Linked DNA regions of Rhinolophus ferrumequinum. The protein of the gene in region 2 interacts with the protein of the main gene of each other region in a pairwise test. Links are inferred from orthologs where the notes say so. Each region holds a gene or a part of one and is shown on either strand. Other genes may lie near its edges.

The links.
Region 1: the proteins of EFS (region 2) and OSTF1 interact in binary tests that used the Homo sapiens proteins (3 or more experiments, as listed by UniProt). The two-hybrid records come from large-scale screens. The link is inferred for Rhinolophus ferrumequinum from reciprocal best matches to the Homo sapiens genes EFS and OSTF1.

The regions. Positions count from the first base shown.
Region 1 is NC_046295.1:40,458,117-40,474,241, reverse strand, and holds the start of OSTF1 (osteoclast-stimulating factor 1), read right to left. Parts: upstream 6,576-16,125; 5' UTR 6,376-6,575; coding exon 6,342-6,375; intron 1-6,341. Other genes in the region: NMRK1 (nicotinamide riboside kinase 1), read left to right, coding at 11,488-11,516, 12,625-12,715, 13,001-13,049.
Region 2 is NC_046289.1:73,799,815-73,815,445, forward strand, and holds EFS (embryonal Fyn-associated substrate), read right to left. Parts: upstream 11,006-15,631; 5' UTR 9,267-11,005; coding exon 9,249-9,266; intron 5,919-9,248; coding exon 5,640-5,918; intron 5,420-5,639; coding exon 5,285-5,419; intron 5,190-5,284; coding exon 4,467-5,189; intron 4,083-4,466; coding exon 3,993-4,082; intron 2,799-3,992; coding exon 2,364-2,798; 3' UTR 1,826-2,363; downstream 1-1,825. UniProt on the Homo sapiens protein: Docking protein which plays a central coordinating role for tyrosine-kinase-based signaling related to cell adhesion. May serve as an activator of SRC and a downstream effector. Interacts with the SH3 domain of FYN and with CRK, SRC, and YES.

The DNA.
Region 1 (16,125 bases), on a different chromosome or scaffold from region 2:
AGCATTCAAGATCCTACTTAAATTTTCCCTCTTCCGTGACTCCTTCTCAGCTTTCTCAAGCTCCTTGCCTTGCACTTCCCAGCTCTCTGATCTCACTTTGAGAATATCTCCTATCACGTGCTTTGTAATTTTTCTGTTTAAAGCAAGTTCACACACTTTTGGTAGGAAGGTAAACTGGTAGAACCTCTTTGGAGAGTAGTTTGGGAATGTCTATGAAAATGACAAGGCACATTACCCTCTAACAATACAACAATCCCACCAGGACTGTCCCCTGTGGATTTATTCACACAGGTAAGCAACAAGGCTGTTATAACACTATTTGTTGTAACAAAAGAGTGGAAACAATCTAAATGCTTATTAATATGGGTTTGGTTAAATAAACACAGTAGAGTACCATGTGGTTGTTCAAAAGAACCAGGAAACTCTCTCAATACTGATATCTGAAATTTTTTCCCCAAACTCCTTTAATTTGTTTGATAGAGAATTTTTGTTTTTTCTAGCTTTGCGGTATGGTTGACAAATTGATAGAGAATCTTGACTTAACTAACATCAGGCCACTGAAAGGAGGTCTCTCTGTCTCTGATTCTCTGTCTCTCTCTGATATATTTTGTTTTCCCTGGGCATCAAGCAAATGGGGACAACTTTGGCAATGGTTTTCATCAGACATGAGGTATGAGGTAAAGGGGATCAAAATCTGCTACCCCAAAATATGCCACTTTGGCATAAGAATTTTGAGCTGAAGGCAACTGAGAAAAAGCAGACACAGGAAGAACTCATTGCCCTCTCCCTATCTGCCTAAAAGCAGGGCATAAACTCCCCTTGTGAAAGTATACCTCCTAACATGCCCACCCCCGCTATGTAAGAAAGAGGACAACAACTCTTACTACAGGAGATGAAAATGATACCTAGATAAGTCTATATAAACAAACCTTACTAAAATAACTCTTATCTTCTATTAGTTTCACCATACATTTACCTTCCCACAATTCACTCCCCCTAGAAGCCCATTTCCTTTGTCTGGTCCCTTCTCCACAATGTATCACCCTTTGTTAAAATGATATATAAGCTTTCAAGTCTAACCACTTCTTTGGGTTTTCACTTCTTTTCTGTATATCCCTTGTACACATAAAATTAAAAACATCAATTAAATTTGTATGACTTTTTCTCCTGTCAATCTGGGTCTGTTGTTTGTTTTGTTTTGGTTTGGTTTTTGGTTAGTTTAATTCACAGGACCCCGACAGAATCTAAAAGGGTAGATAAAAAGTCTCCTCTTCCCTTACAGAGACATGTCAGAAAAGCTAGTTACTAGTCACAATGAAGTCAAGCAGTGGTAACGTTGAAAACGTAAAAGGGAAGGACCTCATTATTTCCAAAAGGAACGCTGATGGACACTGCTCCAGCCTTTGCTACTTCATAATGAAGCTACAAGACGTGCCCAATCAGTCCTCCCCACCTTCTTCCAGACAAAGACTTTACTATGTATCAAGACTTTTTATGTATCTGTCATACACAAAAAGTTTAGTTGCTATGCAGTTACAAAGAAATAAAAGATTATGCTACTCTCAATAAGTGTCTAATAGTCAATACAGATCTAATGAAAGAGGAGAGTTATGCAAAGTACATGCAAAACTACAACTGTTTAAGTTAATGAAGGTGACTGCCCAAATAAAGTTCATCCAACCTAATAGAATCCTCACAGGTTTCTCTGCGCAAAACACACTGACTCTAGTTAAGGCTCATGTTCCATTCCCGGGTCATACCAACCACTTTCTACCTTTGAGACCTCAAGTAGTTTTCTTAACCTTACCAAGTCCTACTTCATCCATAAAAATGGGGATATTAGGATCCACCTTTTAGGGCAGTTAGAGTAATTAAATGAGATGCAGCATTTAAAGTTCTTGGCTCAGTGCCTGACACTTATTTAGGGTCAAATAAATGCCAACTAGTACTATCATCATCATTTTGTAATTTTCAAGATGTTTTTCAAACTTTATAAATGGAGCCCCACTGACTAATTCATTTATTCAGAGGGAAAAATTACACAAAAATTCAAATCGTCTCAGATGAAGACCTTTTTATTCTCAAAGGTGTTATATAAGCAGCGTATGTATGACATCTTTGAAGTTTATGATGTTTTTACTGTGTATACAAAAGAACCCAAAACACTGACATTTGCATCTTCAAAGTACCATGAATTTATTTTCACAAGAATTTATATTTCACAAGAAATATTTATGCTGTTTTACTTTCATCACCAAAATCAATAAGCCATTTAAAAGAATTGGTCCAGATCAGACATCAGGCTTCCAACTACAGTGGAGGGTTATCAAATCTGTTTAGAATGCAATAATTCTAATCTAAATCTCATTCAGTATCATTTAGTGAATCTTATATCAAGTCTCAGAATAAAGCCACTTTTTAAAAAAGTATTTGTGAGAACATAATTTGTTTTCTACACTCCAACAGACCAGGTGGGTTCACCCTAATTGAACTGCAAGGCTTTGGAGGGTGGCTGAAAGGAACAGAAGGGCTATGTGTGTAGAGCTGAGAGGCTGGACTAGTTCAGCAGAAGGTAAGGAGGGTTCCATAAAGAATGAGCTAAAGACCACAAAATTGTGACACAACCGACAGAGTACCATGGTGACATATCTAACAATTAGAGGGCAGAATTTCAATGACCAACCTTGAATGGCCAGAAATGACCCTACAAAAGAAGAAAAAAATCAGTAACCAAGGAAAGGTTAAAATATGATAGAACCGATTTTTCAAGCTGAACACAGGCAATACTACACAGACTATAGGAAACATATGCCACCAACAGCAAGGCACTTAAAACTGAAACTGAGACACCATTCTGAGGATAATTCACTGAAATTCAATAGATTTTTTTTTTTGAATAAAATAGATTTGAAGAAGAAGAAAAAAATATCCTGAGGAAACAGTGGTTATCACTAGATGATAAAGTAGGAATGGTTTTTATATATATTTTTATATATTTATTATTTTTCTATACTGCAACTTCCTAAATTTTCTATAATAAAAATATTATTTTATTTTTAATTATAATACAAGGTTTTTTTCAATAGGTAAGATCAGCCATCCAATTGTAGAAATAGGACAATCTAAGATATTATCTGTAGATACATAAATTCCCCCACCCCCTTTAGACTGAAGACACTCATGGCTGAGACCTTACTTCAGTGTTGCTTGGAACCCCGGTGTCTAACACAGGGCCTAAACTACAAGGGGCACGTATTAAGAAGTATTCAGCAAGTAAATTTTGATTGTGACCAGAATCCCAAACAAGGTGACCCCTGGTATAACCTCAGGAAGGAAATGAAGAGAATGCGAAGGAAATTAGGTTGGCAGAGCTTTCCCTCAAGCATCTGACCGGGCTTACCTAGGTAGCCTCCTTTGCAAAAAGGTCCCCTTGTGGGGTGCATGCCCATCACCCCGATAGCTACCTTAGCCCACATTATAGCTTACTGTCTCTTGCTATTAAAATCTTCCAGTAAGCCCTTTGTCCTGCCTAGCTCCCCTCCTTTTAGCGCTGCCTATGAATTGAGTCATGCTGTTCTGCCCAGATCTTGCTTCGCAGGAAGCTATAGGGACGACCACGATGATGTCCCACTTGTGTTCTTTGTAGAGATGACCAGTCCACTCCAACACTTCAAAGAGAACCATGGGAGAATCTCATCTCAGGGCTCAGTGCCATTAAAATCAGTCTTCTCCCAGCAAGTAATACATTGTAATTTTATGAACACTGGGAATTTGTAATTGAGCTTTTATCTCTCTGCTTAAAGCTGAGAGCCAAAACTACAGCCCTCCTTTAAGAATTCTGTAGGACCTTACCACATATGTATCTGAAAGCTAACTTTTCCTCCGATTTCCTCTTACTAGTTTTCCCTCCCTCAACACAACCGTGCTTTCTTTATCTGTTTTTACCCTCATTTGGGATGAGGCAGGATATAAATAAACGAAGAAACCAAAAATTAAATAAACCTCCCTACCCCCAATTCCAAGCTTGCTTCAGACATTTTCACCCATGTAGCTTGCCTGCAGGACAAGAGAGTAAAGCTCAGTACCACTCTCCTTGCTGCTACCAACCAGGCAGTGACTTTTATGTGCTTTTGTGATCATAAAGTCTGACTGAAGGCCAGAGGCACTTTCCTTTCTACTTCCTGCCCACCAGCTCTAAAATACACAAGACCGTGTGAATGGTTCACTGTGGGGTAAGGCTTCGTAGTTAAGAATCCAAATCCTGGAGCCAGACTACCTGGGTTCTAATAATCCTGCCTGCTCCTCCCCATCCATCTGCTGACCTTGGGCAAGTTATTCAATCTTTCTGTGCCTTGCCTTCATTTCCCGACCTGTACAATGGGAATAATAATGGTACTCACCTCACAGGGTTGTTGTAAGAAGTAAATGTGTTAATGAATTTAAAATGATTAGACCAGGACCTGGCACACAGTAAATGTGGGCCAGAACTCTAATAGGACAGTTCTGTTTTCAGTTAAACCAGGCCACACAAAGTTTCAAGTCTGACTGAAAGTAGTATTTCTCACCGTAAATTAGTAAATTGACAAAACGATTTCTATGGTGACCTTATTTGAGTTTGGATGTCATGTACAAATGAGGTGGACTCACAGCTCTCTCTAAACAGCAGTCATTTTCAACCATTTGCTCTCTGATTTGCTGAAAAGACGGAGAAAGCCGTAGTGTCAGACAACAAAAATGGTTCCTGGGAGCTTATACCCAACTGGTAACACCATGATCTTTAACCACATCTGTGTGTGCATGAGTACTCATATACACGAGTACTCATGTACACACTCGTGCACACACACATACACATCACTGTCAGTGCCCCTCCAGCCGCAGCACAGACACCACTTAATGTCTAGAGAGATGAAAAACCTCATGACATGCTTACTCTGTTTGGCTATCAAAGAACAACTCTGCTTTGCTGGATGCTTGAGGTTCTGATTTACATCTGAGTTTTGAAAGGGACCGCCTCCTACATATTTACTTAAAATGCAAATTCCTCATCAGATTCCACATGTAAAAAAGCACGGAGCCCAACTCAAACCACGCCCCATCTTTGCTTACAGCAGAGCCAAAATCCCAGCAATTTCCTCCACACCCCGCCCACCAAAATTGAAGTCCTCAGTGAATCACTGTTCCATATATGTGAGTATGTACATAATTTTCAAATAAAATGACTTGAAACTGAGAATGTATGAGGGCAAAAAAAGAAAACTGAAAAATCATGAAAGTTGTAGTATTTGACTAAAGTTTAGAAAAACCAAGGAAAAAAACCACTGAAACTCTATGCCTTGCAACCAAGGTTACTTCGAAATTTGATGTAAATGGATAAATTTCAGCCTTGCTGTACTAAAGTCACATGAGATTGGAAGAAAAAACCTGAGAGTATGTCAGGGCTGTTTATTTTCCATTCCCTACGTTTCCGCTAATTATCTACTAAAAGAACGCAAAGAGTTTGTTACAGTATTTCATTGAAATGCGTCAGTCCCCTTTAAGTTTTCGTGTCTCCCTATCACAGAAAATATTCTAAGAATAGAGTCAAAAATGAACCAAGACTATCGGCCCAGAAAATGGCTTTGAGGAACTTAGGAATCGCACCGTTTCCAGTTTAGCAGGCGAAATCCACTAGAAGAGTGGAGGCGCAGGACTGCGTAATAAAGTGACACTTCCGAATAGAAATAACCGAGATTGCTCTGCCGTAGCCTAGGTTCTTCTCGCCACTAAGTTTAGTACAGAGTTTTCTAAACGCGTTTCCCAAGATCCTGAGGTCAATTTCAAACGCTGTTCCTCTCAAAAGTCCCAAAGGAGACTCGCTCACCCACCCCACCCTGCAAGCAGCGCACTTCCCGTTTGCTCTGGCCGGTCAAGAACTCTAACTTGACAGATACACACTTGGGGGAAAAAAAAAAAAAAAAGAGGAAGTGGCTAAAAGACCATTTCAAGGCATTTATTTAATTTCTTTTTTAAAGGGAGATCAATGGCCCTGTCTTCCAGGAAAGCTTCAATGGGACGTAGCCATGACACCGGCTTGAAAGTGGCAGCGAATGTCAGTGTTGCAAAACTGAAGGAGACTCCTCTTTAAAAATAAACTTTTAAAAAATCCTCGAAATCCTCTTGCTATCCAAACGATTCCTTCCCTTTCGTGAACGCAACAAAGCTAACGACTCCCATTCTGATGGATCGGATCTCGACAGCGAGGCTCCGGGGCTGGGTACGTGCCTGGTCTGCACTGCCAAGTGGCATAGGAAGCGCAGGGCACCGAGGCGGTCAGGGGACCCGGCGAGCACCTCCCTTACCTGGTTTGACCGGTTTGGGTGGCGGCTTCGACATCTCGCTTCCTGGAGCAGCTGATCCTAAAGACCACGCACGAAAAGTCAACCCAACGCCCCGCCAACCGGCACCCCAAGTTTCTTTTTGTTTAGTCTGCAGTGGTGCGCCTTCAAGGACCTGCGCCCACCCTTGGCCGTCGCACCAGTGGACGCAGGCAGAGAGGCTCGGCGCAGTCCCGCCCCACCCCGCAGCCTCCCGAGGTGTCTAGAGCGCGCGACCCGGCCCACGAGGAAGTAGCCGCCGCTTTGCCAGCGCTAATTGGTTCCCTGGCTGGCAGCTGCGGCGCGGCGGGAGCGCGGGCGGCGCGCACGCCGGCGCGCGCGGTGGCGGAACCAGCGGGAGCCGAACCCGGACGCCGCGGGCTCGCGCCGGGGCCGTCCGGCCGCGCGCGCCCCCGACAGAAAAGGGCCAGACCCTGCCGTGGCGCGCGCGGGGGCCACGCTCACCGAAGCCCCCGCCCCGCCCAACTGGGGCTGGAGCTGGTCGTCGCGTCCGGCCCAGCTGAACCGATTTGCTACCTCTACGTAGACCGCCCCTGACCTGGGAGGGACGCAGGGGAAGGGGACTGTGGGCCCTCTAGGATAGCGAGCTGCTGGGTTGCGGCGGGTTAGTGACAGGGCGGCGCGCTTGGCCATCGCCTCTGCTTTGCTTGGGAGGACCCGGTGAGTACCTGCTGAGCCCGCCGCGCAGCCTCGCTGGGGCTTGGAGGTGTATCCCGAGTGTTAGCGCCGCTGGATCCCGAACCTGGTTGCATCTTGCAAGTCGTGTTTGGGACTCTTATAACCCTACATGGGCTGATACGGGCCTGCCAAGGAGGGCGTGTACTCGTGACTACTTAGTGCTTTACCGTCCCGCGATAATCCTTAAAATGGGAGTCTGCCTCCAAAAGATGGTACAGGTTGTGGGGAGAAGTCACCAGGGACAGGGTCACGTCTTGATCCCCACGGGAAAGGTCTTTTATTCCTCTAGTATTGGGGTTGACTAACTATGGCCTCCCTGCCTCCGGTTGTACGGCCTGCTAACCAAGAATGACTTTTACATTTTTATATGGCTGAAAATAAAAGAGTACCTTGTGGCATGTGAAAAATTATATAAAATTCCAATTTCAGTGTCCGCAAACACAGCCACACTCATTTGCTTATGTATTGTCTGTGGCCGCTTTCACTTCACAACAGCAGAGTCAAACAGCTGCTGGCAAAATGGAAAACATTTTCTACCTGGCACTTGACAGAAGTTTGCTGTCCCCTGACCTAGCAGATTGAATCTCCAATGGAGGCAAGGGCTGGAGTTATACTAGAAATGCAAAGTTCATAAGTTCGAAATAGCACAGTCAATGTTATAAACCAGTTGTATGTTTGGGGGAAGAAAAATTGAAATGAAAAAACTTTATACATGAGAGTCTCCATAAAATGAAGCTTCAGAAGTTTCTACTAAGGGTTAGTGAAAGATCGCGTGATTCCAAGGGAAAGGGACATGGTTGCATATTCCAGAAACTTTAACTTTGGGAGAGTTCCGTTTACCAAAAAGGGGCAAAGGTTAAACAATAGTAGGAAAAGACTTCCCTCTGGTGTGGAAGAAGATCATCGAAATATCCACTGAATAAAATAAATGAGTGAGAAGTCCTGAAAACATTTCACTCTGAAAAATATCAAACTGCTCTTTCAATGCATTGAAAAGCAGAACATTTCATTAGCATGTTGTCATCTGTCTTTGAGAACATTTGTGGTAGGGACTTGCTGTTTCCTTATAATCTGCTGATTCTGCACGTGTCACCTTGACCATTTTGCAATTTAGAATCCAAAATAGGCCAAGTGTAGTGGTGAAATACAAGAAATGTAATAAACACATACCAGCTGTAAAAAAAAAAAAAAAAGTACATATTTTACTTAGGGGAAAAAAGTATTTAAAATCATTAAAATTACTCATTTGGGGTTTGCTCTTGGATATCTTAGTCTGTTCTCCCCTATGAAGTGTTTTGTGCTGTTTAGGAAAGATTTGCACTAATTGGGAGAAGAAAGTACATAAATATCCCACGAGATTGGGAGTGGTATATATTCCGAGTAACTGGATGCCCTGGATTGATGAGGCTGGAAAGTCCAAATGGTTGTCTCTCTGGAGACATTCAGTGATTAAAGTATGTGGTTGTTCAAACTTGAGTTTGCTTCATGGAGTGTGCTGCTGCTTGTATTTGGAGCCTGGCAACTCTTGATTACAAGTTTTTTAAATGTGATTTTAAAATTGTTCTTAAAGAGGGCAGCAGGCAGTGAAGTAACAGAACGTGTGAAGGTGGACAATGCCAGGCCTGAACTGAGTGTTCACCTGAAGCTGACCCATGCATCCAACACTGTTTTGTAAATAAATTGGCCTCTGGGATTGCTACACCCACTTCTACCCCAGCCACTCATCCCAGCCACAGTTCTTGTTTCTGCTTCTTCCAGTTCCCCACCCCTCCCACTACATTGTCACCTGTTCATTGCTAATGGACTGTGCCCCACATTTACTCAAACACTGTCTTGGACAGGCTAAGACTGCTAACTAATATAGAACTGAGGGTGCCTGTTTTGGTAAAAAAAAATAATAATAATAAAAAAATAAAAATAAAAATTTGTATTTGACTGTGGGAGTTCCTTCCTGAGCCCAAGGGATTGTGTAAGTACGTTCTTGACTCTCCATGACTCCTGGTTTCTGAGTTGCTAGGTTTTCCACCCAAATAATCCCCTCAAGCGTATTTCCAGTGCCACAGCCACACTCGTTATTTACATGCTATGTAATTGATACAATATCCTCACGTGTTTGCACAGATGTGATGAGAAACACAGGGGAACAGTAGTCCTTGCCATTCAGTGTGCACAGCAAATATACACCCATCAATAATACATCACTAAGAGGATATCAATTACACTTGAGAACCTCACAAGCCAGCGCATGTGCAACATCCTTTCTTTGCTTTTGGTAATGAAGTGCTTTTGAATGGCTTGGGAAGAGGAGGTTAATTTGCTTGGTCTAGTTTCATTCCTGGCTTTTCCAAAACTTACTAGCTATGTGACCTTGGGTAAGTCACTCCATTTTCTGGGCCAGTTTCAACTTCTGCAAAATGAAGGGGTGGACTAAGTGACCTCTAAGGCTATACTTCCCTGGGTTTGAGAGTTTAATACGTTGACCGACTATCCAAAAATAATCAAGGTGGGGGCAAGGAACGACACAGTTTTATGTTTTGTGTTTTGTGTTTGTTTGTTTGTTTTGCCAAGTGAGGACATCAACCTACCACTATGTACTGCCAGCATGACTTCACAAGAGAAAGGACATTTATCACATTTATCATTTTTATCTAAAAATAAGAAAGGTACCATCTCAGGATAAATGGCAGTCTTCTCATCCCAAAAGAGGATAGTTGGCAGCTTTGCACTGAGTTACTAAAAATAAGAATAGGGTAAATTAAATTCAAAAATAGAAAAATTACAACTTAAAAATTTATTTTACAATATTCATTGTATGCCATTGTTCCTGTGATAAACTTTGGCAATTTGGGTGGAGGTACAGATTTTCAAAAATGCAACTCCAGGTAAAACTCAGATGCCTAACTTGTTCTGTTACTTTATTTTTATCATAGTGATTATTGAATTCTTGTCTCATATAGGCTTGTTAATGAAAGTGGAACTGAACCTTAAGCAGTTGCACTTAATTTGGAATATTCTGGATAAAAAGAAGCCCAGGAACAACAGCTCTCTCTCCACAGGTGCTTCCCTCCCCGCCCCCCCCACTCTCCCCACCCCCCCCACCCCCCACCACCCCACTTTCCCCAGGAGGAGCCTGGACAGAGGTCAGGGAGGGCTGCTGGGAGGCTCCAGCTCAAGGAGCCACTCACCCCACGCGGGCACACAACTTAGGTCCCTGGTCACCCAACTAGAGCAGCTTAATCAGAGGCAACTCTCAGGAACCACTGTTCTAAGTTTCCCTCCAGCTGAGCTTCTCCTTTTCATTTAAAGAGGTGAAAATGGTCTACTGGAATATCCACAGGAACTGCTTTGTTGAACCTTAGAGGGCCATGTGTGAAACTGCGGGCTACCCCTTATACCAGGGGTCAACAGACAATAGCCTGTGGCTGAAACCTGGCCCTCTGACTGAACTCCAGGCAATCACTTTCCTGATAGGGAACACTAACTTTGAAATCCACTTAGAGAAATGTTATCCCAATAAAAAAGGAATTCCATTCTTCTCATTAGTAGATATGAATTGCCAAAAAAAAGACTAAATTATTATTATGTTTTGACTTTGATCAAAAAAATTGTGAAAATTTGTTTCTCTCTTGTTATATAAATATCTGCTTAATAACCTTGATTTTGCCTCTTGGCCCACAAAGCCTCCGATATTTACTACCTGTTTCATTTCTGAAAAAGTTTATTTACCCTGGCCCTAGACCTAGGCTTCGGGATGAGGAAATGGCACCCTTAATGGGGTGCTAACTTCCTTTTGCCTATGACCAGCAGTTACTTCCTCCCCATTTCAGAAGGGAGAGAGGAGCTCTGCAGTTTCCCTCCATAGGGGTAATGGGTCATCTCCAAGTGATTGAATTATGCAGGTGACATATGACCTGCCTGAGTGCAGTATGAAACTCTGTAGTGTGCTGCGCGACCTAGCAACTCTTCCACGACCTTGAAAACAGACCTTCAAGGGTATATGCTTTGCCAAGGTACACTTTCAGTTCACTCGATTTGGGCTTATAGGCCCTGAGCACGCACCATCTGTTGGTACTTAGCAGGAGAGTGTGGCAGAGAGAAGCCAGTACAGGCATACCTCATTTTATTGTGCTTCACAGAGACTGCGTTTTTTACAAACTGTATGCAGGGCCCTCCACCAGCAAAAAGATTATGACTCCCTTTATTGCGGGATGGCCTGGAACCGAACCCACAATATTTCCAACGTATGCCTGCACAATATGAAGCTCTTCCATGGAATACGGATAATCCAGGGGTGGGGTAACCCAGAAATCACAGCCATCCTCCTCCTCAGCTGGCCCTTCTAATTTAGGACTCTTACCTCTTTCAACATCTGAATGACAAGCATTTGATTTTTCTTTTTTATTTTAGGAAGACGTGATTTTTGAGGCGAATTATGAACACATTTGTCATTGGAATTGGTGGGTGAGTAATTTTGCTACAAATAGCTGATCAAGACACTCAGGATGTCCAGACTGTGTTTTCAAGTGGACATGGTGGTGGAGGAGGAGATGCAATGAGGATCTCCTGAGTCCTGAAGAAGTGATCAGGCCACTGTCAAATGTAAAACAGTGGAGCTCTGGCTACATAAATACCAACAGTAGATGGGCGAGTTTCCTTATAAACAGAAAAATAGGAGCGTCAGTAAGCTAAGTTTGCCTACTTTATCATTTATTTTCTGGAACTGATACCAGAACCAAGGCCTGATCAGATGCTACCATGTTTCCCCGAAAATAAGACCTAACCAAAAAATAAGCCCTAGCATGATTTTTCAGGATGACATCCCCTGAACATAAGCCCTAATGTGTCTTATGGAGCAAACCTTAATACAAGACCCAGTCTTATTTTCGGGGAAATATAGTACTTTGGTTCAGAATGGTTTTATTCTCCATATGGCTGCTCCCCCATTGTGACATAGGAGAAAATCTATCAGTTCTTTCCTGTTTTGCCCAGCTTTGGACATACAGAAAATGGAACCACCTCACCTGACTGGTGTGATAAGCTAAAATGGACTTCCCATCCAGCCCCAAAGTGGAGAGAGATTAGGGGAAAAGAAACATCACAGAGGAGATATAAATTCATGATAGGTAGGCTTGTAATAAGCCACTCCTCCATTTTTCAACACTGTGCATTGAAACAAAACCACAATGACCATGTGCAGTTTTATATACTTGCATTAAAATGTGCTGCCTATATTCTGTGTTGCATATAAACCCTGTGAATATTGCGCCATAGACAAAACATTTCTTTGTTTCCAACTCAATAGTGGTATTAAATCTTGATATTATCCCGTTGACTTGCCCAGTAGTTGCCTTTCTCCTCGATCCTTCCCAGCTTATTTCTTATCATTTATTGCATTAGATCTACTTATGCCTATGGTTTTACCAACAGGAAAAAACCAGTATCTATAAAAGAAATAATTTATTCCTAGATATTCCATATTGTTTTAAATACCCTTTCTAAGATCATTTTTATATGTTTTTTAATGCATCTTTCTGTATTTTCAATTTTTCTTTTCTCTTTTTTGGTTCAGTGTGACAAATGGTGGGAAGACAACACTGGCTAAGAATTTGCAGAAACACCTCCCAAACTGCAGTGTCATATCTCAGGATGATTTCTTTAAGGTATCTATAAAACTTCTTAGATCACTTATTTAACACAAAAATGTTTTAATAGTAAAGTTAATTGAATTACATACAAAAAGCCTTTGCTGATAAAGCTTTTTGCAGTGAAGGTCGACCCAATGCAGTAGTGTTACGTGTCCAGTAGATGGCACCACTTATTGGTCTTGTTCTTTGAGTTAATTATTCTCATTCAAAGCATTTATTGAAGGTTTATTGCCTCTTCGTTCTATAATTGTATTATATTTGCACTGCACAGTTTTGATGGGTACTTTATCATTTTTTCAGCCAGAGTCTGAGATAGAGACAGATAAAAATGGATTTTTGCAGTATGATGGTAAGTAGATGAGCTTGTAAAACATTGTGCGCTGATGTTCTTTTTTTTTCCCCAAACCCAAATAACTTTGCTATCTATGAAGACAGTGTCAAAGTGTGTTTAAATATATTACTATACTTTAAGGCTGCTTTTGTAAAGGTTTCTGATTTTTGTTCAGATATCTAAAAAAATGAAATCATTTTCCCAGTTTTATGTTTGAAACTGAAAACACTGGAATAATACAGATTTTTCTTCTGAAGCTAGGGCAAGGTGGGTTCACTGGTACTCTAGTAATCCCTGCCGGGAATACATGACTAACTATACTCCTCTTCCTGACCCCCCAGCTTCACCTGGAGCAAACTCAAAGCACTCACCTTCTGAGCTTTCCCTCCCAGTAACCAAAGTGATACTGGGCACCTGGGTTTTTGTTTTTTTTTCCTTTTCTTTTCATTGCTCAAAAAGGATAGTGAATATTTTTCAGCTGGATTCACCTCACTTCCTTACCCAGTACTATGTTTAATGATCTTACCAACTTTTATAATTAACAAGATGATCATTGAGGTCTTGTACAAACCAGCAACCAAGACAATTCTCTTGAGGAGCCAGAAAATATGTTCTTTATTTTTAACTTTGATAACCTTGGAAGAAAAATGTTGTGCTGTCAGTTCTTACAGACACTTCATAGACTTAAGAGAGGCAAAGTCCTTGACTCACTGTCTGTTCTTGTGTCTTGAGCTGCAGCCAGGATATTTTTTTCTTCTCTTCCCTTCCTCTAAAGGTTAGTAAAGAAGACTATTACATGTGAAGCATGCACTGTACCACTGAACTACATCCCCCAGCCGGGGAGATTATTACAAAGTAAGAGTTAAGCAAGGAAAAATTGTTTTCAACAATTAACAGAATGATTCCTAATTTAAATGAGTTCTTACAGACTGATAAGAAAAACACCAATATTCCAACTGAAAAATGCCCAAGGATACGAACAAGCTATTCACAGAAGCAAACGGTTATTTGATAATGTGCAATACAAAGTCAACCTCAAAGGTAGTCAAAGAATCTTAACTTACTTTTGTCCCCACTTACCGAATAAACAGATTTTTAAAGCAATAATAATTATCTAATAATGGCACCGGCTCAACAGAACAAAAACTGTCACAGATGGGAGTATAATAAGTTGGTACAATCTTTCTAGAAAGGAGATTGAGCATATGTCCCAAAGACCTTAAACATTCATGCCATGTGTTCAAGTGTCCTCTTCCAGGAATCTGTCTTAAAGAAAAATTTGAACTTTTTATGTAACTGTGCAAATTTAAGGTAAGTCAAGTTAATGTTGAAATCTTTATGATAACCACCAAAACAATAGTTTTAAAATATACAGCTATGAAGTTTGTAAGTAGATGGCCTCATTAAAATATAGTTGATAAGTCAAAAGAAGTAAAAAACAGAACAAATCAAAAAATTCTGGGAAAATAGAAAACAATAGTAAGCTGATAGATTTAAACCAAATATATCAGTAGCTACATTAAGTTAAATGAACTAAAATACTCCAAATATTGTCAGACTGGATTTTTTTTTAAAAAAAAAGCCAACTACAAGCTCCTTACAAGAGATATATTTAAGTATTAGGACATAGAAAAGTAGATAGTAAAAGACTAGAAAAAGATAGTATACCATGCAAACACCTAATGAAAGAACACTGATGTAACTATCCTAATATCAGACAAAGTAAACTTTAAGGCAAAGAGTATTACTAGAGATAAAGAGAGATAAATGGATCAATTCAACAGGAAGATAAACAATCTAAAATTTGTATACACCTGATAACATAACTTCAAAATACAATAAGCAAAGATCAACAACACTAAGAGGACAAATAGGAGAAAATCTATAATTATTTTGGGTGATTTTAATAGTACTTCCTAAATAATTAATGGAATAAACGGGAAAAAATTATAAGGATCTATCAGATTTGAACAACACAATCAACAAAGTTGACCAAACTCCCAACAAGAGCAGAATATACATTTTCCCCCCTCAGGAACACGTGGAACATTGACCAAAAAACAAGGTACATAAAAGGCATGCAGCAAGTACTAATACATTTCAATGGATTCAAGTAATACAGAGACATCTTCCCATCACAGAGAACTGAATTAGAAATCACTAACTAAAGAGGAAATAGAAAAGTCCCAAGTATTTGAAAAATAATCGGTACCTTTTATTCTGAGTTTTAAAAAATTTTTCTTATGGAAAATTTTAAATATACAAAAGTTGACAGAAAAGTATAATGAATTCTCGTGAATCACCATCCAGCTTTAAAAATGATGAACTCTTGACCAATTATATTTCATCTGTACCCTCACTCAGTTTCTCCTTCTATATTATTTTGAAGCAAATCCCAGACATCATTGCATTTTATTTGAAGCAAAACACTTCTGTATACCCCATGGGTCAAAGAATAAATCACAATGAAAATTAGAAAATATTTTTAACTAAATAATAATGAAAATATATTAAAACTAATGGCATTTCTGGTTCCAGCCAAATGGATTGACAGTATTCCTTGCTATTCTTCCCTCTTACAACTAAAAAACCTAGGTGGAGTACAACAAACAGAGGAAGGCTCTGAAAGATGAAAGGAGGAGAGCAAATTAACTAGGGACTTCAGGACTTGAGGAGTAACATGGCTGCGAGTTCCCTGAGTTTTCTTTTTCCTCTCATATATCCTGGAAGGGGTGCTGGAAAAGTGTGCAACATAGAACCATCAATAGGTACGAAGAAACAAACAACAACAACAAAAAACAAGAAACCTGTTCTCTAGTCAAAGGACCAGAAAAAGGGTAACCTAGAAGAATAGAAAATTATTTTGATAATATTACCCTACTCAAGCCAAACACAAAAGGAAAAACCATCCTCCACTCATGGTATTATCAGGGCCAAGTGGGGAGCAACACTTCTGGACCCATCAGCACTAGCAGGGCAGGGTGAGTTGGCCCTGCATGCCATCCACAGAGGTCATGTCAAACAGTGAACTGAACTTCCACCCCCACCTACCAGCAAACAGGCAGAATGAGGCAGTGTGAGATGGTGCTGGTTG
Region 2 (15,631 bases):
CCATGCGCTCTGCAGCTCCATCTCACTTCTCAAACGCTGCACTGCAGCTACACTGGCCTTTTGTCTTTTTTCCATACCATAGTACCCTTGCATAAGCTCGTCTTTATACGTAGACGTCTTCTCCTCCTCCTTGGTTCTCATCCTTCAGCTGTCAGCTCGAGCATATTTGTCTCAGAGAAGCCTTCCCTAACTCCTAGAATTGCTACTCAAAGTGAGTAGCTCCCACTTCACCTGGGAGCTTATTAGAAATGCAGCATTGCAGGCCTTTTCACCAGATCCCCAGGTGTACTACATTAGAGAACCACTTCTCTAAGAGATTCGATACCTAACAGATCCTTTATTCTCTAATCTCAGGTAAGGGCTGGAAAGGAGTGTCCTGTCAGTCCCAACCAGGAAATCCATTCCCTCTTCTCTCCACTGAAACACGCTTCTAATTTGTCTCCTGTTGAAAAATTTTCCAAATATGGAAACTCTTCTAAAGCGGTTAGCAGCCTCCCATCACTTCCCCTCCCCCAGCTCGTGTCAGCACCCCTTCAGGATTTACTTCAGTGCTGTCATAGCCAACATTCCTGGGGGATTTGTCTGTGTCTTTGTGTCTGTCCTGGAATTCTAGTCCCTTGACTTTATGTGCGCTGTTGACATGCGTTGTCTTGTTAGGTCCTCACAACCCTGTGAGACCATTATGATCGTCCTCATATCACAGACGAAACTGGGATTCCGAGGGACTGACAGGATTTACCCACAGACACAAAGGTACATGTGGTTCTGGGACTCGCACTGAGACCTCTGACTCTAATTCCAGGCTGACCTCTTAAAATTCTTTCTGGAAGACGATGGGGGATGGCCCATTATGTCTTGAACACATAGGGGTGAATTTTGGTGGCCCCAGATTCTGGAAATGAGTTTTGTTTTGAGAGTGAAATGAGGAACAAGAAACCCATAATGGAGGCAAATGCATAGGAGGTGCCAAGACACTAGGATTGTGACTGAAGTTTGAGGTGCCTCCAATCCAGTCACTGTGCCAGGGCAGCATCTTGGGAAACGGATTTGTGGCTTGGACTTCTTCCCTTGTGGCAAATGGCTGGAGCGATTCCCCATCCAAGCCATGGCTCATCTATTTCACCAAAGCCCTGAAGACTATGGACTTCTAACATACATTCATCTGCTCGTCAGCAACTCTAAAAGATGCTGTGTCCAGGAGGCTCAGCAGGAAGCCTGGGCAGGGGAGTTTCAGGGGTCAGACCCTCTTGGGTTAACCTAAGGAAGCGAGCACCAAGGCCAGCCAGCAGCACTCTCCAGCTGGCCAGAGCTATCCTGCAGCACAAAGCTGAAGATAGTTGGGGTGACCTCTGCAGCACAGCACCTTTTAAGGCTCTCGTGTGGCCTTAAATGGCCTCCACATGTCTCCTTTCTAATGACATCATTTGACAATGAGGTGTTGGAGGCCACAGGTCAGTAGTCAGTGTCTGTCTTCCTGGAATGCTGGTTCTCTCATCCTTGGGGTCTCAGCTCAGATATCACCTTCCAACCATCCTGTCTATAGTCTCCTTCCATGGTTTCTCCTCTCATCTGGTTAGTCCTTCGTATCACCCTGTTTATTTCCATTATCAGCAACTGACTGACTTGTTTATGTCCATTCCACCCCACAATGTATGTGCCTGGCACATCATGGGAGCTAAGAACCCGCAGAATGAATAGTTGTTGACGAAACAGCAAAATTTCACCCCAAATCCTAAAGGCACCCATCCTGTCCATAGTGTGTCCCATAGGTTTGGCCAAGGGGCACCAGACCCAACCCCAGGCTCCTAAGAAGCAGAGTCACGGAGCCAGACAGTACGGTTTATTGAGGTGCATGCCCAGTGCCAGAGGCCCAGCTCTCCCACATCCTGTGGAGAGGAGCCCCGGGCCTCTCCCAGACCTTCATATTCTGGGTGGTCATTGTCCTGCCCTCATTCTAACTAACAGTGAGGCACTGATGTTCTAGAGCCAAGAAACAGGACATGCAGGTGGCCCGGGTTTCAGCCACCTGATTCTCTGTGGGGCTGAGCTTCCAGAGGTGGGTGGCAGTGTAGTGACAAGACCCTCCACCCCAGGCTGAGGAAAGAGGAAGAGTCCTCCTGCTCCAGAGGACCTGGCACTTGCCCCTGACAAAACAGGGAATAATATTAAATAAAAATAATTTATACAAAATGGCTTGTACAAAAAGCTGCAGGGTAGGGGGTGGAGACGTCTCTGTGAGAGACGGAGATGACTGAAGGGGGGGATGGGGATCCCCACCTCTCCTAGTCCCTAAAAGAGCCTTCCAGTTGCCCAGTGTCTGGAGGGGTGTCTCTGGCAGGGAGGGGAGGGGCAGATTGGAACCCTCAGGGGGCGAGGCTTGTGAGCAGGTTGGTGAATTGCAGGGCATGCCCTGCCAGCTCTGCCACACACTGTGCCATCTCTTCGGTCGCAGGGCTGGATGGGTAGCCCAGGGCAGCTGCCTTGACAGCCAGCACAGTGGCCCGTAATGCCTGGCCCAACGCTGTACCTGCAGCCCCAACCTGAGCTCGGAGAGGGGTGGAGGCTGCCAGCCGGTTCAGGGTATCCCCAACAAATACCAGGCGGTGAGCGGCCACCACCACCCGCTTGCCATGGGGCACGAAAAGGCGTGGGGGCTGGTTGGCCCTGGTGCTGGACATCAGGGCTGCCACGGCTGCCCGCAGTGCTGAGTAATGGTTCTGGCACTGCCCTGCGTAGAAGTGCAGGAGCTGTAGATCTCCGGTGGGCAGAACCAGTGGCTCCCCTGGGGACAGGGCGTCCTGAGGGCAAAAGGAGTGGTCAGTGGGAAAGCTCTGTTAGTGTCACTCCTGCTCTCACTTCCTTCCTCCTCCCTTCTTTGTTCCTCAGTCCTTTCGTCCTAGTTCAATCCCTTTAGCTCTTATCTTTGCCCATCAGAAAATTTAGATCCTCATAGTGAGTGGCAGGAAAGTGCTCAGAGCTGGTGTCAGATACATCTGGATTCAAACAACCTCACACAAGTCTCTGAGCTTCTTTCCGTATCTCTACACTGGGGAATCGAAGTCCTGCACTGTTCAATATTAACAATGCAAATCACACGTGTGATTTGAACATTGCTAGTAGTCACGTCAAGAAGAGTAAAAAAAAAACTGGTGTATTTTAAAATCCCAAACCTAAAAATGTTGTAATTTCAACATATAATCAATATAAAAATTATTGAGATGTTTTTTCACACTAAGTCTAGAAATTCTCGTATGCATTTTACATTGCAGCACATTTCAGTTCAGACCAGCCACGTTTCAAGTACGCGATCGCCACGTGTCTGGCTAGTGGTTACCACATCGGCTAGCGCACGTCTAGTATCTGCCTCCTAAGGCTGCGGTGAAGATGAGTGTGAGTTGCTACAGTATATAGAAAGGGCTCAGAAGAGAGCATTGCACACTAAGCCCCGTAGGAGTACCAACTGGCTAGGATTAGTGTTGACGCACGCAATGTGCTTAGCACAGAGTCTGGCTCTTGGTGAATACCTGAAAAATGGTAGCGATTGTGATTAAAACCAGAGTCAAGGAGACCACCTCACTTTCCTGAGGCCCAGAGACATGAACTGGCCACGTTAGAGCCCCTGGTTTTTTCATGGTGGAGCCAGGATTAGGAGCCAGGTCTCTTAAAACCCAGGAAATCAGTTGGAAGGAGCCCCAGAAGTAACCTGGCCCAGCTCTCACCCACAGCCCAGAAACTTTCTGCTCCTCAATGCTCAGTTTTCTGATTCCTCTCCAACACATTCTTTCCCCTCTTTCTGAATTCCTGATATCCTTTTCTAAATTCCATCTCCTTCCTGTTGAATTTTAACTCCTGTCTACTCCAACTGTTCCACTTCACTGAACTTTCACCCCATCCTAATGTAGTTCTCTTGATGGTTCAGTTAATACTCTCTTCCATGTTCCTGCTCCTCCTTCCCCGGTCCCCCTTCTCTAGTACCACCACCACAGGGTTACCTGCTGCTCCGGTGGCCCCCTCTCCAGCAGTTCAGGACCATCTGGGAAGGCCTTATCCAAGGGCCTAGATCCCTGAGTTTTATCCATGCCCTGCAAGAAGGGGTCAGAGTCTCAGGCAGGGATTGGGTAGCCTTCCTGGCCCTCCCCACTCCCCCTTCCTCCCTGAGGTCTCTCCTGCCATCAGAGGTTGCAGTTCCTGGACTCCAGGTCTGGGAGAGCTCTGGTGGCGAGTCAGAGGGCTCAGGGATCCCAGCCTGGGTTTAGGGGGGGATGTGGTACTGGTACAAGTGTGGCCAAGTACTGGAGTCCCAGGCCAGAGGAAGGGAAGGAAGGCGAGTCCGTGTGTGGGCCCAGGCCTCCTCACGCCCCCCCAGTTCTCCAGGGACTATTACCTCCTGCTCATGTCCTGGTCATGTTACCTCCTGCTCAAAACCCAGGGGCACCTCGGGAGGGGCTGGCTGGAGGTGAGCTCACCTTCAGGTGGACATAGTCGTACTCCTCAGACATCGGGATGCCCTCATACTCATTGTGGTGTCCTGCTGGATCGTCCTCCAACTCTCCGCCCTCTGAATCCCCCTCAACCTTAGGGGTTCCATAGCCAGGCAGGCGGGGTGGGGGTGGGGGCAGAGGCCTGTCCTGGATGCTGCCCTTCCGGCCTGGAGCAGGAGAGGGGGCCGGGGAAGGGCTGGGGGCCTCAGGGATAGGCAGGGCAGGCAGAGGGCGGCGGGACAGGCTCTCAGCCGAGGGCAACCGGGGCCTGTGTGAGGGTGGAGGACTTCTGGCCAGGAGCAGGGCCAGGGAGTCCGCATCATTGGAGGCCAAGGCTCCCAGGGGTTCTGGAGAAGGGGGTGTCTCTGGCCCCAGTAGGGGCACGTCGTAGATGCCTTCGTCAGTGTCCCCACCTTCCCCATCTGCTTGCAGTTCCTCAGGTGCTTCATACAGGTTGAGCAGGGCTGATGCCCGTTTCAGGTTGGAAGGGGCAGCGTAGAGGGGGGGACCTGGTTCTCGGCCCCCCTCCCACTCCAGATCTGGCTCCAGCTCTGATGGTGGCTTCGGGGCCAGAGGCACGTCATAGGGAGCTTCGTCTTCTCCAGGGGGCTGTGGGGCGACCCGGGCCAGAGGGCGGGAAAAGGAGGCAGGGGAGTCATAAGGGCCACTGGAAGGAACTCGGAGGGCAGCGGGGGGCACATCATAGACCTGGAGAGGGAGCAGCTAGTTACTCTCAGCAATTGACTCCCTCCCTCCACAGCTGTCTATTCCCAGCCCGACATACACAGACCTCTAGCCCTCACCTCCAAGGCGTCTCCAGAGGCAGCCAGTTGAGTCCCACCGCCTCTGGGAACCTTGTAGATGGGGTCAGGGGAAGGTGGGCAGGAAGGTGATCCTGAGGTCAGACAGGGACGAGCTGGGGGTGGCACCACATACACCTGGGGGATCAAGACGGGTGGGTGGGTCAGGAGTGGGGACCAGGGAATCAGGTCACGTGTGTGCCTTGGAGGAGTGTAGACACTTTCCAACCTCCTCCCTGTCCCACGGGGAACTAGAACCCAGAAAAGGTTGACAGGCTTCTTAGAGCAGAGCCCTGAAGAACTGCGTGTGGTCTCAGGGCTCTCCCTGCCCCGGGGTTGGGAGGGCTCCAGCTCTCACCTCCTGGTCCTCATTGCTGCGCTCTGGGGCTGGATATGGTGAGCCAGGCTCGGCTGGGGGCACCTGGGAGAGGCTGGGCTTGGGTGCTGGGCCAGGAGGAAGGAGCTTCACTCTGTTGGCAGGCACTATGCCCTGCTGGCCGTGCAGGGAGCAGAGGCACCAGCCGTTCAGCCCACCAGCGCCCTCCCTCTGCAGTACCCGTAGAACATCCCCTCGGCGGAAGGACAGCTCCTGGGGGGACTCGGCCGTGTTGTCGTAGAGTGCCCGGGCCAGCTGGGCCTGGTGGGTGAGGTGGGAGTGGGGAGAGGGTCTTCATACACATACCAGGTCATGTTACCTCCTGCTCAAAACCCTTTAGAGCTCCCATTTCCTTCAAGCTAAGAATCTGACCTCCTGACTCAGACCTTCCTCACTGGGCTCTGCCGTGTCTCCAGCTTCATTCCCTGGACTTCCCTCTTCCTTTCTATTCCTTGAACTAGACAAGCTCTTTCCCACCTCAGGGCCTTGGCACTTGCTGTTAAGAGGTCTTTTCTTCACTTTTTTCCTACCCCATTCTGTGTCTGTGTCCACTCATTGTTTCCTTCATAATACTTTATAATATTTGTCTATTTATTTGTATTATCGATTTCTTCCCTTATACTGTAAGCCCTGTGAGAACAGGGACTCCTATATTCCTTAGCCTCTGCAATAAGGCCTGACCTGGAATCAGTCCTCAATAAACATGTGCTGAATGAATTTCCTCCAAAGCCTTGCATACACAAGGAAGTCCTGCTAAGGTCTCCCACAGAATGTCCTTTACCTCCCGTTTCCCATCAACATCCCCCACAAACAAAAGGTTAGATGAAGCAGCTGCAGAGACCCCTCATTCTGAGAGGGACTGGGACTGGCTCAGCCCAGACAGTGCCTAGGCATAAAAAGGAGGAAAACGGAAACCGAAGCAATTGTTTTATTCTCAGTCTGAGCAAATAAGGTTCTCAGAAGAGGCTGAGGTTACCATGGAGAAATGGAAAAAGTACACACTCGTGTGTGTGTGTGTGTGTGTGTGTGTGTGTGTGTGTAAGGGGCTGGTGGACCAACCAAGAGCAAGCATTTATCAGCCTGTTTCCAGTCCTCTCTGGTGGGACATCTAAACTTTTCCTTTGAAGATCCACACACTCAGGTAGTAAGTCACAGATACTAAGTGCAAATTACGTATCCAGACACTTTGAAAGTTTTTGCTCTAATCATCTCATCTCATTTAATCCTCACAGCAACCTAAGGAGGGAGGAGCCGTCATTATCCCCATCTGGGAAGGAAACTGAAACAGAGAGGCTAGTACACTGCCCAACGACATACAACTGGTGCAGCTGGGAACATATGTGAACCCCTGGCTGCTTGATCCTAGGGCCTGCACTCTTAATCACTCCTCTACTGCCTCTCCATAATCACAAACACATGGATCTACCTTTTCCTTCTTATATTAGGAGCACAGGTTAAGTCAAGAAGGTCCATGACTCAAACATGACTCAAACGCATATAAAGTCTTCATTATACCCAATTTCCCTTTGCTAGTCACCCTTCATAGGGCTCTGGTTCCACAATGTCCTTTGGTAGAATCAAGCTTAAACCACTCAGGATATCAAAATATATTCTGCTTCAGTTTTTGCTAAATGACTGCAGCTGCAGGCAGGATCCCAGGCAATGATGGCTCACACAGTGGTGGTGGAGAAAGGGAGTTAAGCATTACTGAGCAGGTGATCCATCGGGGCTAATTCAGTAAAAAATCTCAAGCTAAAGATCTCTGGCAGGTTGTATTTGGCCCCCGGGCCATGGGGAGAAGGATGCCCTGCTCAGCCAGCATGAGTGCATGTTTCTCTTGGCTGGTGTTTCCCTCAGGTGGAGAGGTTGGCAGCCCTTCATCACTGGGTGATTTCAACAGCAAACTGACTTCTCCTCTTGCCTGATTCCAAACTTATCAAACCATTTTCTGATTATGTTGGTTTCTAAAGGATGTTGTCCCATAGAAAGAAAACATGCTAACCAGGTGATACAAATTCCTGGTTAGCGTGGCACTTTTCTTTCTAATTATAAATTTTCAATTGATGTTTTGGATTTAGCCAAGGGTTAAGAGCACAGTTCTGAGGCAGACAGAACTGGTTTTGAGCCTTGGCTCTATCCCTTTCTACCTGGGTGGCTATGGGCAGGTTGTCAAACCTTTCGGAGCCTCAGTTTCCTCCTTTGTAGAATTCTATGTCCATATCCAAATATCTATTTTTGGATAAAATAGTACTATCCTCACAGGAATGTTGTGAAGGTTGGATGAGATAATGTGTCAAACAACCAGGACAAACCAGGACAAAGCTTAGGGCCAGTAAATGTTCAATAAATACTAGCTGTTATCAGGATCCTGTAAGTTTGACGATCATAAATACCAGCCCTCCCCCCCCACCCCACACACCTCTGGGTAAAAAGAAAAATCTTCCTCCTGGGACTACAGTTGACCAGCTTCTTCCCTCCCCTCTCCTGGCTCTGAAAACTATGATGATTTTTCTCACCATCATACAGATGGAGGAACTAAAAGGAATTTGGTTTGAACAGTGAAACTTGAACTTATCCTAGAAGGAAATGGGAGGACGTGAAGAACCATGCTTCTCTTTCCGGCCTCACAATCCTCCTGCCCAGAGTACCCATTCAGAGGGGACCAGAAAGCAGGTGGCAGCCTGGCTTTCCCTGGGAATCCTAGGGCCTAGGGAAGGTGGAAAAGGGGACAGAGTTGCTTGGAGTGCAAGACAGAAAGCAGAGGCGGGGCTGAGGACAGCTCCTCCCAGTGCTAGGTTTGAATTCTGTCCAATGGGGCCAAACCTCTGGGCCTTGCAGTTGTGGGGAACCCAGGCCAGAGCTGCTGATAACCTGATTGATGATGGGTGTAGCCACCTCTATCCCCTCCTCAGGGACCTGGCTGACTAGTGAGGGAGGGGCTGACTTAATGGGGGGTGGCAGCGGACCACAGCATACTCCGGGAGGCCTCCTCCCACTGTCCCATCATGCCAGCTGTCTCCTCCCTTTGTCCCCAGTCCCCAGAAAGTGGCCAGAGGCTGGCTGACATCACCTCCCTTCCTCCCTCTATTTTCTCTTTCTCCCTGCCCGATCTCCCGCTTTTGCTTCGTTTCCCCCCTTTCCTCCATCCCTCCTCTACAGAAGGGCCTCCTTGGGCCCTCCAGCCTCTCCCATTTTCCCGGAGCCACCTCCATTCTTTCAGCCCCCTCCCAACCTTTTACTTGCCTCCCAATCACAAGCCCCTGCCAGCCACCAGTGGCCATCTGTTCCGCCCATAAAAGAGCAGATAAAACTCGGGCTAGACTTGCCCCCTTCCCTCCATCCCTGGGCAGCCTCTAGAAAGAAAAAGGGGAGAATGGGGAGAGGAGGGGGAAAAGGGGAACCTACACCCACAAGGAGCTAGGGATGAGCAGTGAGGAGAAAGGGAAACAGAAGTGAGAGAAAAGGGACAGCCTCCTGGAGAAGAAAGGGACCAAGGAGAGAGACAAAGAGACGGCAGAAATAAAAGTGACAGGAGTGCAGGGCAGCTGTGAAGGTCTCTGCCCCACAGCCTCCTTTCCCTGGTGGACTCACCGACGTGGCTACGGCCATGGCCCTGGCCTTCGGTGCGGCCTGCTCCAGGCCAGGCTCGGTTTCGCTGACTTCAGCAGCGGCTGCCCCGCACCATGGAGGCGGCCCACGGCTGCGGCGCCTGAGTCGTGGCCTCCGAGGACGAGGACGTTGGAGGAGGAGAAAGAAAACCCACAAAACTCCCCAAATGGGAGGCAGCTTGGTCGGGCAGGAGGAGGAGCAGGGCGGGCCGGGGCGTCGCTGCGGGACCTCATCCAAGGGCGCGAGCTCTGCACTGTCCCCACAGCCTCCCGGGGGCCGCCGGTTTGGCCAGGCCCCCGGAGATGCCTGCCCTAGGCCGCCGAGGCACCCCAGGTCCGCATGGACCTAAAGTTCCCTTCTAGGGCCGGGGCTGGCGGGGAGGCGGAAGCTAAGGCTGCGCTCGACGACTCAACAGGCCGCTCAAGACAGCCCTGAGGGCTGGGAGAAGCCGCCTGGGCGGTTAGGCTGGACAAGCGAGTTTAGGGGCCAACCCAACCCCACCCGGGGCCGAAGAGCGGGGATCCCAGGGCTGTGTTCGGGGCGATCCGGGTGCTGTAGCGGCCCCGCTGCCGGGGAGGGAGAGAGCTAGAACTGAGCCATCGGTCCCCCTTCAAACTCGCCCATCTTGGCGAAAGGAGGCCAGGCTTACACCAAAGGCCTGCGAGAGCGTGACCGTGGGGCTGCGTTGCCCGAGTGGCTGCTTTCCGCCCAGACACTCGCAACTTCTGGATGAGGCGGTTCGCACTCACTCACACTCGCTCTCAGCACCTCCGCGGTCTGGGGGCGCCGCGATAACACGCGGCCAGACTCGAAGGGGCGGGATGGCCTTCCACAGCCGCAGAGGGGCCCACCCGCCCTCCTCCGCTCCTCGGCCGCAGCGCGCAGGGCCACCCGCTCCAGCTCCCACCCTTGGTCCCCAGCACCCGGCGCAAGCGCGCCGCCCCTCTCACGCGCACCCTGGGCAGGGCCCCTCGGCGCTCCCAGGGCTCGAGGCAGTACCCAGGTATCTCTGGGAACCCAGAGAAAGGCCACAAAGCAAAAGGAGCAAAGAGAAAAAGGAAGGGCAGGGGCCTGGGGACTCGCCTGGTGGTGGGGTGGACACTAAGAGGGCTGGGAAGGCTCCGGGGGTCGCGCGTGGCCTTCAGGCTCACCCCCGCTGGCGGCGCCCTTTCCCTCCCCTTCCCAGGCTCCCGGACCCCTTTCAGGGCAGTTCCTTTCTCCTCCCCTCAGGCCCTCTCCGCTCCGGCTCGGGGCTCGGTCCTGGGGATTAAGAGAAAGGAGGGAGGGGAAAAGGGAGGGAAAGGGAAGGGGCGGAGGAGAAAGGAGGACGATCCCTCCAAAGGCGGGTGTTGAGTTTCAGCTCAGGACCCTCGGGCCACACTGCACGCCCCCTCCCGGCCCCTCTCCCTGGCTCCCTCTTCCCGACGTCGCGGTGGCCCTCCGGGTGGTCTGGTCAGCTCCCCGCTCGGAGCTCGCCTTTCCCCGCCACGCCCCCGCGCTCCCCCGCCAGCCCCGCGCCTCTCTCTGCCTCCCTTTCATTAGCCCTACATCTGTCTTTCCCGTGGGAGGGAGGGCGCTCCTTCCGCCTTGCTTGGGTCCTCAGCGGAGTCTCTCTTCTCTCTTGGCGTTGCCTTTGCAGGGGTGGCAAGGCTAGCCGCGGTTCCTGCGGGGAAGTGGGGCTGGACTGGAGTCGGGGGTCTGTCTGGGGCTGGACGTGGATTCTGGCCCTGGCGAGAGAACGTGAAGCCTAAGCGTCTGGTCCCAGAGCTGCAGGAGGGCGAGTTGTGCCGCCTCTTACACTCTTCTGCCAGTCTGGGCCTGTCCCTGGCCCTTGCCCTGGCACACTCCTGCTGCCACGAAGGGCAGGACTGAGGAGTGCAGGCACAAAAGGGCCAGCTTTCAGGAAAGCTGCGATCTGGCCTCCCAGGAGTTTCAGCTGAGAGGACCCGGCTTTGGGGTTCCCACCTCTCTCCTGCCATACAACTAACTACCCCTTAGTGTGTACACTGTCTCCCTCCAGTTACACCCCTCTCCTGGTTCTTCCTTTTGGGGCACACATCAAGGCCTGACAGTTGCTGGGGGGACAGAGGCCTTCCTTCTTCCGTTTTTGAGGTTCCTGGTATTTAAAAAGTGAGGTGCCAAAAAGGATTGAAAAGCTGTAGTCTATTTTCAATATTTACATTTAGCAAATTAACACTTTAAACTGTCAATGTAAGAAACGTCCAAACCTGTAGAGAATTTTTATGAGTTTGTTTGAGGCAGACTGAGGAAAACAAGATCTCAAACGCTCCAGAGAAAGACAGTTTTGCAGTTTCTTCTGTGCATTTGGAACTAAGGAGAGAAGGTAAGGCAGATTACAGGAAGGTAGAAGAAAGCAAAGTATAGGATAGTTAGCAAGATTATGTGCTCCCTTGAGGGTGCTTACGCCTTCCAGGGGTCTGGGAAAGATGATTACTTCTGGTGTTTCAAAGGTATGTTAACCTAGATGCACAAGAACAATGGGCAGGGCTTGCTTAAGGCAAAGGTAAACCTTTTACTAAAGAAGTTATATGCCTGGGGCGTGACCACCCACCATGATCTGCCCAGTTGGGAATTTAGGATTAGATCACCCTGTGAGACTATTTTCATTCACTGAACTTGTTGTACATAACTCCCTTTTGTCCACATAAAAAAAATAGACTCTATGTATAACTTCATTTGAGAATAACATCAAAAGTCTAATTTAAGGCCCTTTGTGGACTTCAGGCCTGGGACAGATAGATGCTCCCCTCTCCACATTCCACAGGCCCACGCATCCAAGCATTTTCCAGGAGGTGAGGTGAGAATACCTGCTTTGGCTCCTTCCCATCCTTATTGCCTGGGCACCTATGAAGAACCCTCTGCAGAGGGGAGGAGTGGAACCTACAGGTGGATAAGGGAGAGATTCTGGGGTAAACGTGGGGATGGACAATATTGGTGCTGGGTCTTGGCTCAGAGATGGAGTGCAGACCTGGGCGTGGGGCTGGAAATCCTGAACAGGATGGTAGGGGAATTTTTAAATTTTCAGATGCATCTGAAGGAAGAGCTCCCCCATCCCCGCTCCACCCTGGTCCAACTTCCAACAGACCCCAGGCCTGGGGGGACCTGGCTGTCTAGAACACAGACACTCAGGAGAGTGACAACATGGTCTCAGTCCAAGGGACTCCCAAGGCAAGCTGGGGCCCATGAAGGAGGTGATTAGGAAACCCAGCTCCCAAAGATGAACGCTCTGATTGGCACAGGGGAAATAGATGGAGGCCAGAAAAGGCTAAGCAGGAAGGAAGCTCTAGGACCAGGCAAAAGGGTTGTTTGCGAAGTGGGTCATGGGGCTCAGTGCCTGGGGAAATGTAGGTGAGGGCAGCAGAGTGCAAACCTGCCTGAAAGTGAGACTGTTTCTGGAGGGCCTGGGCACTGAATGGAGACAGACTCAGGAGTGAATCCTGGTTTATTAAGCTGTGTGACCTTGGTCAGGTTATATATCATCTCTGAGGTTCCTCATCTGTAACAGTGACATTGGTGAAGAGTGAATATGTGCAAAGTGCCCAGCGCAGCGATCTCCCTCCACTTTTCCTCTTCACCTTGGCTCCCCCGACAATTTGTGCTTTTATGAAAGCTGAAAGGGTTTTTGTTTGTTTGTTTGTTTGTTTGTTTTTGCTGAGGGCAGGAGGAGCCTTTTCCCTGTTATTAAGCCTCATCCCTGCCCTCTCCTTTGCGGAGGTTTAAGGTGATTCTAACTTGTTCAGGGAGAGCTGTGGGCTCCAGGTAAAGTTGGAGGAAGCCCAGGTTAGGTGAGCAGCTAAGACCCTGGGTGAGGGGTGGGTGATGCCTCAGGCAGCCAGGCCCTCAGCTTTGTGGCTTGCCTTTGCTATATTCAGCAGTATAAAAGGAAGGAATTTCCCCATCGGGCTTTCTGGGTCCCAGTCTTCTCTCGCCTTCCCAGCAGGGCAAGCCAGCTGGTCTCTTCCTCATCCCCTCCCCATGACTTTCTTGACCTATTCTTGTTTCTCCTGCTACTCAAAACTTCTCAGGTGCTCACAGACTCTTCCAGTTCTCCCTTTGGAACCCCTCAGCATCCAGATTGCCTGGGTTCTAATCCTGGTTCCAACACTAGCTAGTGACCTTGGCAAGCTACATGACATCTTGGAGCCTCTGGTTTTCTGTTGGTACAGTGAGATAATAAGGGAACTGATAGCATCAGCTTGTTGTGAGGATTAAAAGAATCCTGAGGACAGTCCTGGCCCATGGTGTGTACATGTCGGATAAAAGCAACTCTTATTTGATGCCAGCCCTGGGGGTAGCATAATATCAAGGACTAGGTACTCATGCTTGGGAAACTCACATCAAGTAGATATTGTCTGAATCCAGTCAATGCCTCCCCACAGACCTTGAAATAAAATCCAAATGCTTCACCACAGCCTGTGGGCTGGAACCCTATGTGATCTGGTCTCTGCCCAACTCTTCCGCCTCATCACATCCCACTCTTTCCCTCATCCTTTGTTTTCCATCCACACTGTCTTTTCTGTTCCTCAGATATGCCCAGCTCTTTCCCACCTCTCGGATTTTGCATGTCTGTCTTCCACCGCCTGGACCACTCATCCCCCAGACCCTCCCCATCCTTATGTCAAATTCTGAGTGCTCAGAAAGGCCTTCCCTGACTTTCCAAGTTAAAGCAGCTCCCCTCCCCCCATAACTCCCTATCTCATAACACTGTTTCATTTTCTTCATAGCACTTATTATTATTATCAGAAATTATCTCGTTTCCTTGTTTATCATCTGTCTCCTAAGACAGAGGCTTCGCGAGGGAGGGACTTTATCTGGCTTGTCCTTCTCTGCATTCCTAGCATTTAGAAGAGTGCCTGGTGTATAATAGGTGCTCAATAAATATTTGGCAAATGGATGAATGAACAGGGGCAGCCATGACTGTAGGACAAAGCTGAGTAAGGCATGGGACCTCTGTGGGGAGCCACCAGCACTGGGCTGAGGAGGGAGTTATGGAGTGTCTAGTCCTGTGCGCTCTGATTCCCCAGTGTTGTCTCCCAAGCTAGACTGGGCTCTCTGTGTGTGAAGGCGTGCTCCTGAGCCTCAGCATTTTAGTAACTAAAGGTGACACTAAAAATCATTAGCAACCAGTATCATTCTCACCTACCAATCAGGACATGGGAGCTATGTTCTGGAGGCCCCTATCTGAGCAAGCCTTAGTTGCGGGATCACAGGGAGGTTGTGGCAGGGGTGCCCCAGGGCTTAGGATATCATCTACTGACCAGCAAGGGCAGACGTATTTCAACATTTTAACCCTCAGTGCCCCACCTCACATCACGTGAGTGCACATGAGTTTCAGTGAACTCCGCTGAATTCAGGAGCTGAGGTCTAGAGCAGCTAAGCTGGTTGGTGCTTTTGTGGCCATCCAGGTTAACCTCCCTCTGCCCCCCACCTCCAACACATGCACACTTCTACAAAGAAGGAGAAAGAACCCAGAGAGGGCCCAAGGTCACGAGCTGATCAAAGGCAGGGTCAGGACTTCAAGGTAGCAGGTGAGGATTTGAATGTCTTTCTGAGGAAGGGCAGGACAGCCATCGTCTAGCCTTCTGCAAACCCCAAGAGCATTTCTTGGCCAAGGGTGAGGATGTATGCCGTCACCTCTTCCCTTCCCTTTCCTGTCAGATGTGATCTCTCTTCCCAGGGGCACAAGGGTGGGACTCCCAGCAGGTCCCCTCTGGCTGCCAGGTCAGGCCTTGGCAGGTGAGGGCACATTGGGAGGCACCCTTGATGTTAGGTGCTGGGCAAACTTTCCTTTGGTCCCACCTCCAGCATTCTCCCCATTGCCACCCCCATCTCGCCACACCTCCAAGGATTCCCTGGAAGCTGAAGTGACTCAGGGATTCCAAAACTAGTCACCCAGGAGGAGAACCCTCTGGAAAATATTTCTCATGACAGGCAGTCACCCTAAGGAGTCCCACCGAGATGCTAGTGAGACATGTGCACAGGCTGAGCAAGCCAGAGCGGAGCGGGGGCGTGTGGCTCAGAGCACAGGTTCCGTCTGGCCTGAGCAGCACTGGGGGGCACTGTGCTTGGAGGGGCCCTCCCGCTGCCTGTCAGGGCTTTTCTCAGAGGAGGTCCTGGTACAGGCAAGGATCACTCCAGGGGCCTTTCCTGAAAGTCAATGTGGGTCCTTTGCAGCATCAGCAAGTAAAACAGGTAGCTAGGATCACTTCAGATCTTTCCAGCGCCCCCTCCTGGATGGGGGTGGGGTAGGGGCAAGATCAGGAGGTCTGTCTGGGCCAAGGTCAGGCTCAGGCTCTGATTAGTTTGGTCTAGACCCATAGGGATCTAGCTCTTCTGGAAGAGCA